Linked DNA regions of Saccharomyces cerevisiae S288C. The gene in region 1 interacts genetically with each later gene. Each region holds a gene or a part of one and is shown on either strand. Other genes may lie near its edges.

What was found. Genes that interact genetically often act in the same process or in processes that back each other up.
Region 2: mutations in YNL033W (region 1) and RMR1 together harm fitness more than expected from each alone (negative genetic interaction), as found in Saccharomyces cerevisiae (one large-scale study listed by BioGRID).

What each region holds. Positions count from the first base shown.
Region 1 is NC_001146.8:566,361-574,612, reverse strand, and holds YNL033W (uncharacterized protein), read right to left. Parts: upstream 1,615-8,252; coding exon 760-1,614; downstream 1-759. Other genes in the region: putative tyrosine protein phosphatase SIW14, read right to left, coding at 1-107; YNL034W (uncharacterized protein), read right to left, coding at 2,298-4,136; YNL035C (uncharacterized protein), read left to right, coding at 4,922-6,091.
Region 2 is NC_001139.9:27,803-35,524, forward strand, and holds RMR1 (Rmr1p), read left to right. Parts: upstream 1-4,107; coding exon 4,108-4,833; downstream 4,834-7,722. Other genes in the region: HFM1 (DNA helicase), read right to left, coding at 119-3,624, 3,777-3,834; ZIP2 (Zip2p), read left to right, coding at 5,296-7,410. UniProt on the Saccharomyces cerevisiae protein: Required for normal levels of gene conversion events during meiosis.

The DNA of each region.
Region 1 (8,252 bases):
TCCTTGATTAGTCGTATGATTTCTGCCTCATTTTCTATCAAATCGTCAATCTTGCTGCTGCTTTTCGGATCACTTCCCTCATCATTCTTTGCTTGATATAAACCCATCTCCTTTTAAACTTTAGATGAAAAAGAAAAATTGATCCAGAAGAGAGTAGATAAAAAGCCGAACTGTAGCAAATTCAAAAATTAGAAAGTATTATTTAGTTACTGTCTTCAATTGAATCTTCTTTCCCAGTATCATTATTAAGTATTTCCTTCTCTTGTCTCTCAAGTTAACTCACGCAAAATTATTTTTATTTCCATTCCTTGAATTAAAGCCCAGCTTTTTTTCCATCTGGCGGGAATTGTCTGCTATTTTTTACCCGCGTCATCAAAAATATTGATAGCATAGTCTAATAATCAAACGCTTACAGATCAATAAATACTCATCCCGTAGCGCAGCGTACGTACTGTGCGTTCCAAATCTTGCAATTGCAAGAAGGATGTAAGCGCTTTTTTTAGACATTAATTTTTCCCTTATGTAGCTGGCAAAGTCGATATGTACTATAAAAAGCCATTGCAGTAGTATCATTCCCGGCTGCTTCCAAGTTGGCGAGCCGCAAGACTCAATGCCGCTGTATATTTTTACTGGGAAACAGGTTTGAGTGTTCACAGATTGAAATTTTTATTAATACCTATTAAAGTGAAATACTGACAGATACTATGTACATGTAGGGGTAAGTTGGTGTATGGTGTGTACAGCCAGGAGCAGCTCCATCTATAGCAAGCTTGAAGAGTACATATGGACGCTTAGTAACGTCTGGTTAGGCCGGTCTCTCGATAAAACCGCGAACCCGTTTCTTTCCCCCTGCCAGTCCTCTCTGTTAAGAGTTGAAGCCAGTTTAGTGATGCCGCCCAGTACTTCTATCGTATAATCTCCAAAAAGTGTGTATAGTTCGCTTACAGAGGGCATTTTCGATGAAATATCCGCGAACCCCAAGGCGCTCACTGATCCAGCATCTAAAATCGAAATACTCCCATGGTTGTGGTGGGATAGCGAGTCCAGAGTGTACTGGTCAAAGCATATCTCTGTAAACAAATCGTGGAATGGCACTATCGAGTTTTCTCCGACGGTCATGAGTAGACATTTCTGCCGGTTGCTTCCTTCGAACGGGTACACTAGTTTCTGAGTGATATCCATTTTAGTAAAAGCTTTCCCGACACCCTTTCCGAAGATTCTGCCGACCATTTCCCCAAATCCCAGTCCTACCATTTTTTCCATATCAGCATCGCTATTCAGCTTATTTTCCTGCAGATACTTCAGAAGATAGCCCCAAGCGGTGAGTAGTAGGACAATAAAGTTCAGCGCACAAGAAGTTATTTTCAAAGGACCCTTCCACTTAAATGGTGCGCAGTTGAAAAGAAACTGCATGGTTTGAATTATGTTAGTAGCAGTATTCAAAGCGGTTTCCGCTTTGTTTTGTGGTTGCGGTGCGGCAGTCACAGTTGTGATTTCGGTGATTGTTGACGTAGTAAATACAGTTGTTACATCGACCGAGTGACAAAGTACGGTTAGGGAGGTAACCAACGCAAGGAAAAGGACGGTTGTCCTTGATTCTCTGGAGTAAAGCATGATCTCGCGCACGCTCTTGCTATTGACAGCCTCGTTGTATCAACTTGTGTTTAGGAAAGGAGGCAGAATAAAGATTAAAAATGGAAGAAAAGACTCAATGGTTCCAGCGAAACAAAGATGCTTGAAAAAAAAAATAATTCAGAAACGAGTCTCTTGTCAGGAAAGCAGTGTCAGGAAAACAGTGTCTGTTCTATAGTTTGTGTTGTGTCCCTCAAGCACTTTTGTTGTTAAAAAACCTTGCTAAAGTTTTGTACAGGTTTATACCGTTGTGCAAAAACTGCTGCTAGGATAACTGAACAGTTGTTTCTGTGGCAGATGTCGTGAATAGGCGCCTTTATTTTAAGGGTCCAGTGATTCGCGATGTGAATAAATACGCGCGCCGCTCTCGAAGGAACCTTTTGAGGCTGCTTCTGTCGATAAGAAGGCTTGGCAAAGGCCTTTGCTTTACTGCTTCTTTCCCGCCTTTTTGGTGCATTGGGTTAATTGATGAATATGCGTAAAATTTAAATCAGACTATGAAAACATATATAACAACTATTACAAGAGGGAAGTGGTAGTCTACTTGAAGAGGCGCGCCAGAAGAAAACGGTGGTAAGTACGAAGTTATGTGTAGACTAACTTGCTCGTTAAAAGTATTTCGTCAGCCGTGCCAAACAGTTCGAACTATCGGAACTTCTGACGGTTCACTGATGTACAAAAGTTGAGAGCCATTTTCGTAACCGGCTTTTTGTCCCATGCTCAGAAGGATGCATTGGTACGGTCACTTCGATATTCCTTCTCTGTGAGTGGAGCCAGAGCTTTTTGTTAGTTTCTAGTTCTGTTGCTGTGCGAGACTCACGAACAAGTAGTAGCCGGCATGGTTTAGATGGTTCTGGCACGGTAAGCTGAGGAGCGCTATTATGGTTGCGGGTAGTACAGTCATTAGAAGGTGGAATAGATTCCTTGCATATGTCTATCAGTGCCTGAAACGCCCTCTCAATGAGGGAGGTGCCAGGACTCAAAATTAAGGATTGTTCGGCGGGATGCGGTAAGCCTTCGTATACTAGGTTGTTGGACGGAAAAATCTGATACGGCTTGATCTGAATGTTAGGATCGACCTTACTGTCTAAAGTATCGAGAGTGATGTTTCCTTTTCGGTTTAAAGACTTCTTCTCGCCGACATCGAGAGAAAAATGAATGTGATCAAGAACCAGATCTATTTCTCTTTGTGTGTTTTTCCAGGGACAAAAAATGGAGTAGGGCTCAATCCTCTGGAAACCTTCGTATTTGTATTGGTATGAATAAAAACGGCACTCTGCTTCCTCCATAAGTTGGTCGTAGCTGGGCATTGTATCGAAGTTGAAGGGTCTCTTCCAGAATGGAATACTTTTATTTGAGGGATTGTAGTACCTTCTGGGCTCAGATTGTTCGTCTAAAAGCAGGTATTGAACAGCTATCATCTTGCGCTCAAATTTAAATTCGAGGGAATCGTAGTCAATGTTCTTTGTACTTCTCAGAAAGAGTGGACAGTATTTTCCCATTTTGCTTTCAAACCAGTTCTGTGGCCTGTCAAGGTACTGTTGCATGTATGAAGGAACTACAGTAGTCAACGTGTGGTTAGACTGGGAAAATTCCGCTGCGGACCCGACGCTGCAGCTTATATTTTGATTGCGGGGAGCAGGAGCGCAGGCATCTTGTTTAGATTTTTGGCTTGGATAATGTTTGTGGTGATCAGTGGAATTTATTGGGCAGTAAATTTCAGTTGGAATGATAGATTCATTCGTCTCTTTTGTTCTGGAGTCCTTGGTGCGGCGGAAATCAAAGCAAGTCACTTCTGCGTTAAGCGATGCGAAATTGCCGTCTGGAAATGACGATATGTGGGGAGAATGAGGAGGATTCCATGACGAATAAACTGATGAGGATGTGCTAACAGATGAGGTTAGTGAGGGTACCGATTCGTTGTTTTCTGACGCAGAGTCTGTTGTGGGAGATGTGGTAGCGTTATTTCTTTGCACAAGAGAAGGTGGGAGCATAGCACGGTTGTGGGAGGAGGAAGAAAGCATTACGTTGCAACTATCATTTACGGAGTGGGATAAGAGGTAGGAGGTTGTCATAGCGGTGCTTTCTTCCTGGTGCATGGCAGAAGACGTTGGCAGTAATTCGTTTATTATGGTGACATTGTCGTGATTAGAAAGGACTGTCTCTTTTACCATTGCCTCGGGTATGTTTTTTGACGCTTGCCCTGAACTTACTCCAGAGCAAGCCTCAGTAGAAGAATGACCGGAATGATTCCTCTTATACACGTTCCAGAGCGGAGCATTCTTGACATCATAAAAAAAGTTGCTGACAGGATCTTTGGACTGGTTGACGTTAAGTGGTTCCGTAGCTGGTCTGATGTTTTCTTGTACGGTATCACTGACGGCTGAGAAACCTTCAGAGGAACCGCTTTCGGGAACAGACTTGGAGGATTGCAAATTAAGCCATTGAAAGTCTAGCCCAACCTTGTTGCAAAAGGCCTTGAACTCCTGGAAAGATGTAGACATTATGTGGGCGAAAAACAAAATTAGACCAACGCTTTAGCAAATTTTTTCAACCTCAAATTGATATTTGAAGATTAGATCGGATGGTTTTTTTTCCTGTGGTGTAGGCCAAGCTTAAACAAGGTTTTAAGTGAAAGTGGAAATAATTGTGATAAACATGCGGAAAGAGTGCCAGCCTTAAATAATTCCGCATTGTTGCTATGTCGTTTTGTTTTTGTTTTTGTTTTCGTCTTATTGGTATTTGTTCATTTTACGACCACAAAGGATCCAGGGCTTCTACTTGCACAGGGAGGGTTGCTTGGTTAATACAATACAAACGTCAGAGATATTAAGATTTGTAAAGGGTGCATTCAATGAGTTTTTCCTCAATGTGCCCTAGAAAGGAAGTAGTACGAACATTTCTCAGTCGGAGTTTGCCGGAAATTCGAATGACAGTGTAAGTTGAGTTTTGTGGCACAGGGATAATGAGCGGTGGTGCTGGCACACAGTAGTGACGTTGGTTTGGTAGTGTGGAGGGACGGTGGAAAACAGATAACAGTGGTCTCTTGGCCCAGTTGGTTAAGGCACCGTGCTAATAACGCGGGGATCAGCGGTTCGATCCCGCTAGAGACCATTCTTTTTTTTTGCATTGGCAATGTGATTTATAAAAGTTTTCTTAGTCCAGATTGTAAAAATGTTAGATGGGACTACAGTGCACGTACGCAGTCATTAGGACATAGGCACTGGCTCGTCTTACTGTGTAAATAAAAACTACTTAAGTTCGAGAATCTCAAATTAACTTCTAGAGCATGGCTAGTTATTCTTTAGTTGAATCGAATTCTTTCGGGTCAGAAAATTGGTGTCTTAAGTTACAGCCTAGTTATAAACATGGTCTTTTAACTGGATTAAGTAATGGCGAAATACGTTTGCTAGACTGGAGTACTGGTAAATCAGTACAAAAGATTAAGGCGAGCGAAACTGCAATCAATGATATGAAGGTCATCGGTAGCGACTTCTCTGCTGGTCATCTAGTTAGTAGCGCCTCTATCGACGCGGTGAAAGTTTTCGATATAAGGACGAATGACCGCATTGCTCAAATTCAAAACGAGGCCAACTCCCCCTTTATTTCCTTAGATTCTCGTCATGGTCTATTGGCCTGTGGTACCGAATTGCAGGGAATTGACGCTGCTGTATACATATATGATATTCGCAAATGGGACACTCCATTGAGATCATTAATTGACTCTCACCATGATGACGTTACCTGTATTAAATTTCATCCTTCTGACGTCAATATTTTGCTCAGTGGTTCAACTGATGGTTACACGAACATTTATGACTTGAAACAAGATGAGGAGGAGGACGCTTTACACCAAGTTATTAATTATGCGTCAATACATTCCTGTGGATGGTTGTCCCCAAAGAGGATATTTACACTATCACATATGGAAACATTTGCAATTCACGAATTGAACGACAAATCTGACGAATTGAAAGAGCCACAACCCTTGGACTTTGGTGATGTAAGAGAAATATGGAACTGTGACTACGTGGTAGATATTTACCCTGGACTCATTGCAACCGGTAAAACCCAAGAAAATTGTGGAGAGTTGTGCCTCCTACCATTTAAAGATGAGAAGGTGGATACTGAAAACGGTATTGTTATCCCACACGCCCATGGAGACGAGGTCGTCAGAGATATTTTTATACCAGCACAACATAGCAACATGTTATACTCCTGTGGTGAAGATGGTTGCGTTAAAATTTGGGAAAACAAACAGGGGCCGTTAGATATTCCAGAAAATTTTTGGGATTACTCTAAAAAAATGAACGTCTTAGGAGATGACGACAGAGAAGGTTCCATTAATTTAGACGAACCTCTTATTATTCAAAAAGAATCGGTTTCCACGAGGCCAAGGAAGGAGAAACACAAGAAAGCCAAGAAACATTCCATGAAAAGTCGTTTCAAACCATACTAGTTTCATAAAGACAATACATCTAAAGAGATGCCTAACATCTGCAAGAGATTTCGGCAGAACTACTCTATAACTTAAAAAACGAAGCATACATTCCAAACAAGTTGATACTTCTAGATCATAGTTTATCTTCATAGGGCTTCTTTTGTTGGTACAATGTTATAACAACTATATTTCTGCTATATAGAGTATTAATGCATTTTTTTTTTTTATCTCCAGCATTAAACGTGCACGCTTCTATAAGGTGGAAAAAAAATACTAGAAAAGGAATAAGTGAAACACCACGTTGATGGTGAAAAAATATAAAGGGGCGAGCTGGGAATTGAACCCAGGGCCTCTCGCATGCTTTGTCTTCCTGTTTAGGCAGGAAGTCGCCCAAAGCGAGAATCATACCACTAGACCACACGCCCGATTATTTTATGGTGATTTCTGTCTCACAGGAAATTGTTATCAAAGGATAAATAGCATATTTGTCTTAAAGAAGGTTTTATAAATAGACATGCAGAATGTACTTATCAGTGGTATTGGAATGTGTTGGAATAAAAATCAACTATCATCTACTAACTAGTATTTACGTTACTAGTATATTATCATATACGGTGTTAGAAGATGACGCAAATGATGAGAAATAGTCATCTAAATTAGTGGAAGCTGAAACGCAAGGATTGATAATGTAATAGGATCAATGAATATTAACATATAAAATGATGATAATAATATTTATAGAATTGTATAGAATTGCAGATTCCCTTTTATGGATTCCTAAATCCTCGAGGAGAACTTCTAGTATATCTACATACCTAATATTATTGCCTTATAAAAAATGGAATCCCAACAATTACATCAAAATCCACATTTTTCTTCATGGTAGCGCCTATGCTTCGGTTACTTCTAAGGAAGTCCCATCAAATCAAGATCCGTTAGCCGTTTCAGCTTCCAATTTACCGGAATTTGATAGAGATTCCACTAAGGTTAATTCTCAACAAGAGACAACACCTGGGACATCAGCTGTTCCAGAGAACCATCATCATGTCTCTCCTCAACCTGCTTCAGTACCACCTCCACAGAATGGACAGTACCAACAGCACGGCATGATGACCCCAAACAAAGCTATGGCCTCTAACTGGGCACATTACCAACAACCATCTATGATGACGTGTTCACATTATCAAACGTCACCTGCGTATTATCAACCGGACCCACACTATCCGTTGCCACGGTATATCCCACCACTGAGTACTTCCTCACCTGATCCAATCGATTTAAAAAATCAACACTCTGAAATACCTCAAGCTAAGACAAAGGTGGGAAATAACGTCTTACCACCACACACTTTAACATCAGAAGAAAACTTTTCTACATGGGTTAAATTTTACATCAGATTTTTGAAGAACTCTAATCTCGGTGACATCATTCCAAATGACCAGGGTGAAATCAAAAGACAAATGACTTATGAAGAACATGCGTATATATACAATACCTTCCAAGCATTTGCCCCATTTCATTTATTGCCAACATGGGTAAAACAAATTTTAGAAATTAATTATGCTGACATCCTTACAGTCCTTTGTAAAAGTGTGTCCAAAATGCAAACTAACAATCAAGAATTAAAGGATTGGATAGCTCTTGCCAACCTTGAGTACGACGGAAGTACATCTGCTGATACATTTGAAATTACAGTCAGTACGATCATTCAGAGGCTAAAAGAAAACAATATCAATGTTAGCGACAGATTGGCCTGTCAACTAATACTTAAAGGTCTATCCGGTGACTTCAAATACCTACGTAATCAATATCGTACCAAAACGAACATGAAACTTTCCCAATTATTCGCTGAAATTCAGTTAATATATGACGAAAATAAAATCATGAATCTAAATAAACCGTCCCAATACAAACAACACAGCGAATACAAAAATGTTTCTCGCACATCTCCAAACACGACTAACACAAAGGTTACAACTCGTAATTATCAGAGAACAAATAGTTCAAAACCAAGAGCAGCAAAAGCTCACAATATTGCTACATCTAGTAAATTCTCAAGGGTGAACAATGATCACATTAATGAATCAACCGTTTCATCACAATACTTAAGCGATGACAACGAACTTAGTCTTAGGCCAGCAACAGAAAGAATCTAAGCCAACACACACAGTAGACTCGA
Region 2 (7,722 bases), on another chromosome or scaffold:
AACAAAGCATTATAAGTAAACTCTCACACATGCTAACTTCTGTTGGGAAGCAATACAAATAACAGAAAGGATTGGGGTAATGAATATCAGTAATGTCTATTGTTCCCGGCCATGCCGCTCATTCAAACTCTATATCGGAACCCAAGAAATCCAGATCACCATTCGGATCACTTATTGAGCTCGCCGCTGTATTACTAGAATAACTATCGGATGATTCAAGATCAATAGGAATTATTTCAGGGCAGTTTTCGGGGCCTGATTTTAGGACTTGTTCACCCGCTTCCATAGACGACATCTGTTGCGATAGATTATAAATTTTTGAAGGAAGTGTATGAACTGTCGCAATATCTGTATTTTCTTCTTGCCACTGCTTTGGTTTACTATTCAGTCTTTTTTCCAGGTGAGGGGTTGTGTTGATATTTTTTGCAAGCAGTGGCTGGCGTATTTGATCAGGTTTTGATACTGGCTTGATTGAGGAGGGTCCTTTTTCTTTTATATACTTTACTGGAATACCCTCTTTACAACATAAATGTCTGCATTGCGTTTTGTCTTTGCAGCTATGAAAACACTCGTAATTGCCATTAGATCTTACTTGGCGGCCATTACTAAAATGTGAAGAAGAGTGTGCCTCCGGGTGAATAACTGCTGCAGATTCAACCGCCTTTGATGATTTCTTCCTTTCATTCAAATAATCTAGTATACTATCATCTGAGGATAGCGATTCTTCTAATCCATCTTTATGGGAAACCCTAGACGTTTTCCCCACTTCTCCGTCACTACTGCTTTCATAGAAGAGGCATTTTTCTAAACTATTTAGATCTTTCCTTATATTTGGTGTCTTCGCAGAGAACTGTGATGCCAAATGATCAGTGGAATATACGATTGTTTTGCCGAGTCCGGCGATTTCTTGGCAATGAATTGAGAATTCTATTTTTTCTAGTTTTGGTGATATTTTTGCTGAAATTCTAAAGCCCCTTGGTGACTGTAGTTTGTTAACTTGCAATCTTCTAAAGTCGATTAACTCTCCTGAGCTTTTCTCGGTTTCGATATCTAATGAGAGGTGCTGACCATGCCAAATGCTAGACTTGAATGTTGCACTAATCTCAACTTTAAATGTCAACCACAACTCTTCATTTTCTATTTTGCAATTTTCTAGTTTTGTTCTAATATTCAGACAAGGCAACAAAGAAATGTCGTTTTTAATTTTTATGCCGTTTCCAATCTTGAGGTTAAGATAGTATTCAATCTGAGTATCTGACAAATGCCCCATTTCTTCTAGATTGGTAATTCCATGTCGTATTAGCCTTCTTACTGAAACTAGTCCAATTGTTTTCAATTGCCTAAGAACCATTGGCGTGTTTTCCCAGCAGTGACCATTCAGGCTTCGCAGTAAGAACAAAGTATTTTTCAGTGATGTTCCATCACTTTTTTCAATAAATGTGTCTACCATGCATTTTAGTAATCTAAAACAATGTCTAAAAACGAGGAATTTATCCTGAACAAGAGTTTGATGTAGTTTAGAAGCGCCTTCGTATGATGGAAATTCTAACCCACCTAACTCATATTGAATCAAAAGAGAAACCTTTTGACTAACCCTGTCAATTATTTGGCTCTGTTTCTTCTCGGTTAAAAATGGATATTTCAAAAGTGGCGATAAATTGATTTCTTTGAACAATTTTTTTTCATTGTGCCTCACCCTCATAACTGAAAACTCTTCAGAAGTGGCCAGTAAATTTAGTATCCCTTGTAATGATAGAAATTTTTTTGCGTTAATGAATTGTTTCATCGACTCAAAGGATATATAATGTCGCGTCATTGCATTTCCGTACGCTGTAGATTTGTACTCCCCATTGCTGATATCGATTATTTTCACTTTTACTAAGGTGTCAAGCAAATACTGACAGAATTGATTTATCTGAGAGTCTTCAACGGAATGAAAACTAACGTATCTGTTCACCTCTTGATATGCAGCTGGATTCTTCCCAAATCTAACGTAAAAGAATGTGTTTCGTAGCCAATTTACTGCAGTTTCAATTGAATATACAGTTTCCAAAGAGGTTTCTGCTGCTAAATGCTCGATCAAATTCAAATGTAATGAACTTTCCAAAACGTCAGTTCCATGAATTAAGTTTTCATATGTTTGCTTCATTTTAGAGTCTGTCATGATTACTGCGCACCCGTGAGTTTCAAATTGAGGTCTTCCTGCCCGCCCAATCATTTGCAGTACATCTAGGTCTGAATACTCTTGGATTTCAGAAGAGTTCCAACTTTTGGTGCCTTTGATAATGACCAAATATGCGGGAAGGTTCACACCAACAGCTAACGTTGAAGTTGAACACAATATATTAATTGAACCTGCAAGAAATTCTTTCTCAACGGCAGTACGGTCTTCTAAAGAAATTCCAGCATGATGGAAAGCGATACCTTGTTGCATACATTCATTTAATATTTTATCGGAGGGATTATGATTACATCTTTTCTTACTTTTTGAAAAAATATGATTATTTAATAAAAATTTTGCTGTTGATATAGTTGAAGCCCTAGTCGGACAAAATATTAGTACGGGACGATTATCGGCATGCTTTTCAATTATTTCAATCAATTTGGAATTATATATAGCATCTTTTTGGAAGTCATTTTTGCAATTGAAGGAGTACCCATAAACAAACTTCGTTAACTGAACTTGCCTGTACGATTCGTCAAAAGAAAGAATATTTGCAGGAAGCTCGTTGTTAGTTTTGAGCCACAATGCTAGGTCTTCTATATTTGGAACTGTTGCACTTAAAGCAACAAACCGAATGTTTTGACACATTGTATTCATCCTTGTCAGAATTACTTCCAAAGATGCTCCTCTTTTCTCCTTTATGGTATGAATCTCATCAACTAGGACAAGTTTGACCAATTCGAATAATCGGCTGTAATCGGACCATCTTCTTGTTAACAAATCCCATTTTTCTGGTGTCGTAATTATTATGTTACATTTTTTAGCCTTTTCAGTTTCCAGAAAAGAGGTATCACTAGTAAGCATACCAACAGAAAGATTCACAAAGGAAGGAAACCAGTTCTTGTACATCTCGTAACATAGAGATTTGGTTGGCGCGATGTATATAATTTTGGTGTTATTGGTATCACTATTTGTTTCCTTTATAAGACGTAATATTGCCAATTCAAATAATACAGTCTTGCCTGATCCGGTTGGTGAAGAAATTATGCAGTTCTCGTTACTCTCATAAATACTAGGAAAAGCCTCTGATTGCATTTTATTAAATTCTGTAAATTTAAAAACCCCTCTGAATGAATCTGGTAATATGGTCGTGCTCAAACATTTCTTCGCTGATTTCCTTATCGTGACCTTCTTAGGTTTCTTCGCCTCTTCATCAGGTGTCTGCTCTAAATCGTGATCAAATAATTTACTAGTTACTTGTGTATCATCTGCTGTTATTGAAAAATTATCGTCTTTGTCGAAGAATTGCAGACCACGGCCCTCAAATATTTCCTCTGTTTCATTTTCATCATCACAATCATCCAGTAAACTGTTATAAGACAAACCTACTTTAAAACTTGGTTGGCGGCTATTTTTCTTATTTCTTTTAAATGTAGCAGACTGGTCGTTAAAGTCAATATCTATAAGTCCTCTGAAATTCTAGTCCAGAAAAACCACTTTTGGTTGCATTTCCGCTAGATAATAAAAGAAAGAGGTAACAATGTTAGTCAAAATACTGTTGTTGTCCGATATGGTGTAAACTGATAAGGGTGTTGCTAAGCTTCGTTACTACTATTTGGAGAGGGTCTACTTCTTTTTCCTGTACCGAGGCGATCAAACTTTGTTTTCATCCTTACGACGCCTCTTAAGTTGTCAAATCCACCTTGAGGTATCAATCATTTTCAATGAAAGGATTTCTTGATAGATGATACTAATAGTCCCGTTTTGTTTATAATCCGGGGCAAAGTCTAAATACCCGCCGAGCCTGCATCCATTCGTGGTACATGATATGTTAAAACTACAACAAGGCATAAAAAAGGGAAGTATATATGATTAATTATATATACGTAAAGGAAAAGATACGTAGTTAAAGATTGTTTTTGTTGGTATCAATGGAATCAAAGATGAGTGAAGAAGAAGCGCATAAAACAGTGGAGGTGGATGACGTCGGGGTTCAATTGGATGAGGGCGATGAAGAAGACCTTTTGGAGTATGATGATGAACTCGTGGAGGAACAACCATCGGACGCCCGTATACGCAACGTGGCAGAGACTTTAATGAAAAGCGAATTGCCCAAAGTCACCGTGGAATATAAAGATACTACATTTCTGTTGTTCACGTCGGATGATAAGAACGAAAGTAACAACCCCATAATATGTGAAAACGCTGCTCTTTATCAGCGACCCATGGGGGAATTCATGGAATCCATTCGTAAATTTATGGGAAATCGTTTTGGCAGGTTGGCTTTTGCTACGAAGGAGTTGGTTTTACAACTGAAAAGCCTCGATTTGACCTTGTTCGAAGATAATGTCTACAACAACCATATTTCATTCAGCGATGTTTATACTATATTTAAAATCCTGAAGGAAAGATCGGAGTCTAATTTTGAAACTGATATACCGACGCACTTGGCTATTGAATTAAGTACAAGGCCAAGATTTGTCTCTCGGTACAACGCCTTGGTTGAATTAACTGAAAGCTCAGCTACGTTGAAAAACATAAAGCCATTTTCTAACGATGAAACGCATCCCTTAATTGTGGATGACAATGACCAATATACACACCAGAATACTTCAGAAGTCATTGTAATGGACATAGATGATGACGTAGGTGAGGATTCTGAAGACTAAAGTAGCCATGTTTAATCAGCACTGATCGTGGGAAATCCTGATGTCCAACGGTGAGTTTCTGATTTCCCAGTCACGGATTCCTTTTGAGAATCTTCTCCCGCGAATAAATTATTGGCTCTGTGTAATATTTAAGGTCGCCTTCTTTTTCGTTTGTATAGTCAGCAGTTAAGTATTCATTAATTTTGGATGATGCAAAGGTCCATATTCGATTTCTGATAGCCCTTCCCCCTTTTTTGTAGCGAATTGTATTATTGTTTTGTATTGTTTTTTCGTCATTTTCTTCAATTTTTTTCAAGTTTTACTTTCGGAAGAATTGCTGAAAGTATTTTCTGTTAGGATATGTAAAATACAAGCATAAAATATGTTTCAGGAGAAGAAAATCACTCAATAGTGCCACACCATTGTTAACGAGCTCGAGTAATTGAATCAATTTAGAGAAATAGATCATATTACAAAAATACTATGATTATTGAACGTTGGGAAGTAAAGTTATCTAAATGTAACCAAAATGTGGGCGGCTATTCTGTTCTGTCAGGAAACTTAAAAGAAAACATCAAACTGGGAAGACGAGCACAAAAATATTTGAAAGAGCTAAGAAATTTGCAACTTAAACCACTGAAAATCGGAGGGTATGAAAACTGCGGCACGATCAATGGTGAAGAGTATTTTTTGGAGGTAATTCACATCACCTCTGGAAGACAAAAAATAGATGTAGCCGTTGGCAAAACATGGAATGTGACTAACATTGAGAATGACAACAAAGAAGAACTACAGTATGAGTTATTCAAGGAAAAGTTAAAAGTCGGGAAACAGGACATGTTATTTTTTAGCTGGATGAAAAGTCTTTCAGTTCAATTAAATGCTCCTCTTCACCAAAAAATGACGGAACACGGTTTGGCAGACGATAACACGAGGTTAGAGTGGTTCAACATCCCACTTCTCAGAAGAAGTCAATACAGGAAAAAGGTACCATATCCGAGTTTAAGACAAATGTCCTCTGTACTGGAAGTGCAATGCAGCACACTAACGGAGGAAAAGTTGAACTTCTGCGTTGGATTTTCTGATAAACCTTTGTCAGAATGGAAGCCCCAAATTTTTGAGCAAACCTACAATAGATACCGTTTACAACGGATCTCACCTGAGAAATCTTTCAAATATAAGAGTAGGTGCAGTAAGTACAATTTCAAGACCAGTTCGCAAAGCTGGGTTGTGAAAGTCCCAGAACATGATCAACAGCTTAATACGTTTGAAAAACGTTATGATGAACTCTTTGATGCTCAATTTAATAAACTAGAATTTTTTAAAATAAGAATGAAAAAATTGAAAAAGAATAAGCCAATTGAGAAAAAGAACTATAAAATATGGTGTCTAGAAAAAGAAGACCTAAAGGATTTGGTATGGGATCCTCTGAAAAGAATTTGCAATCATTCTAGGTATGCAATATTTGAGCATGTTACCATAAATAGGGAGGCCTATTCGATCAAACCATTAAGGTTAACTTTTCAAAAATTAGATTCCGGCTCCCTTGACCTGATCGATAATCAAAAAAAGACGTTTGGTAGTATAAAGCTTGCAATGAGTATGCCAGATGTAAAAAAAACTGAAAATCAGTCAATTGAAGAAAGTGAAAGACACGATGAAACTGCTATTGAAACCCAAGAATTTGATGAAAATGATTGTCTTTCATCTAAGGCGGATATTAATACATCATTAGCTCCTCAAAAGAGATCTTTCATCGATAATGAACTAATGTCCATGTTAGTCACCAAAAAAAAAATAAAGAAGGACAAGGATGTTAGTGACACCGGTATATCTTCCACTTCATACTTGATAAATTCTGGGACATATGCAAATTCTCATATTGAAATTCCTACCTCTAATTCAGTTTACAATGGAAAGGAAGATTGCTCATTTAATAACTACTCAGTAAAGCATTCAATATTGGAAGAAGATATTGAGAATAAATGCATAGCCGTAAATGAAAACAAGGTGATTGAGAACCAAAAGGTAATTCAGTCATTATGTAAAAATTCCCATCTAGACCTTATCGAACAATCTTACTTTGGCGAATGCGATTTCATTATAAACCATTCAACATGTGTATATAAAATTCAGGCGAGCCGATTTATGCAACTCAGAAATAACGGCTCATTGCATTACGATAAAGCGGTAAACGATCTTTTAACTGAATTTCAGAGAGTCATTATAATTGTGGAGTTTTCTGAAATAATACAAGACGTTGATCCTGATCTTTTCTGGAAAATCAAACTTTATTTATTGAATTCACGTGTTGATGTTTTTTTCATTCATGAGACTACTGACTTTTTTATTGATTGGATGAAATATTTCATTGCAAGATGGGCCTTTTCATATAACGATGAGAAAGAAAAAAATATTGCAAATGCCGATATTCTTCTAGATTTGGGATTTAACATCCTCTTAGTACGGAAAATTTTCCAGACATATAGTCTCGAAGAATTTTTTATGGCAATAATAAAGGAAGAAAGCAAAGCTGTTAAAATGCTTACGGTTTCACAAATGACTCGCCTGAAGAAGTTATTAACCTTAGAATGGTAAATCCAGCAAGGATCGTTACCCGGTAAACTATTTATACTACGCCTGCCTCTTTCGTTCTTCGACTACATGCTACAGTTAGTAAATTCAACCAAGGAAAATGTATTTATTAACATGAACTAGCCACCTAATTAACCCTTACCTTATTTTTTATACCCTTGGATCATCGGAGTATCTGTAGATCATATGTTAACGTATGTATAATATTACATCTGTCACAATAAACAACCCGAAAAAAATACCGCACGGAAAATGAGTTACTGATTAAGATGCACTTTTTGGTGAGGGTGCGTGACTTGAAACTAAAAATTACCA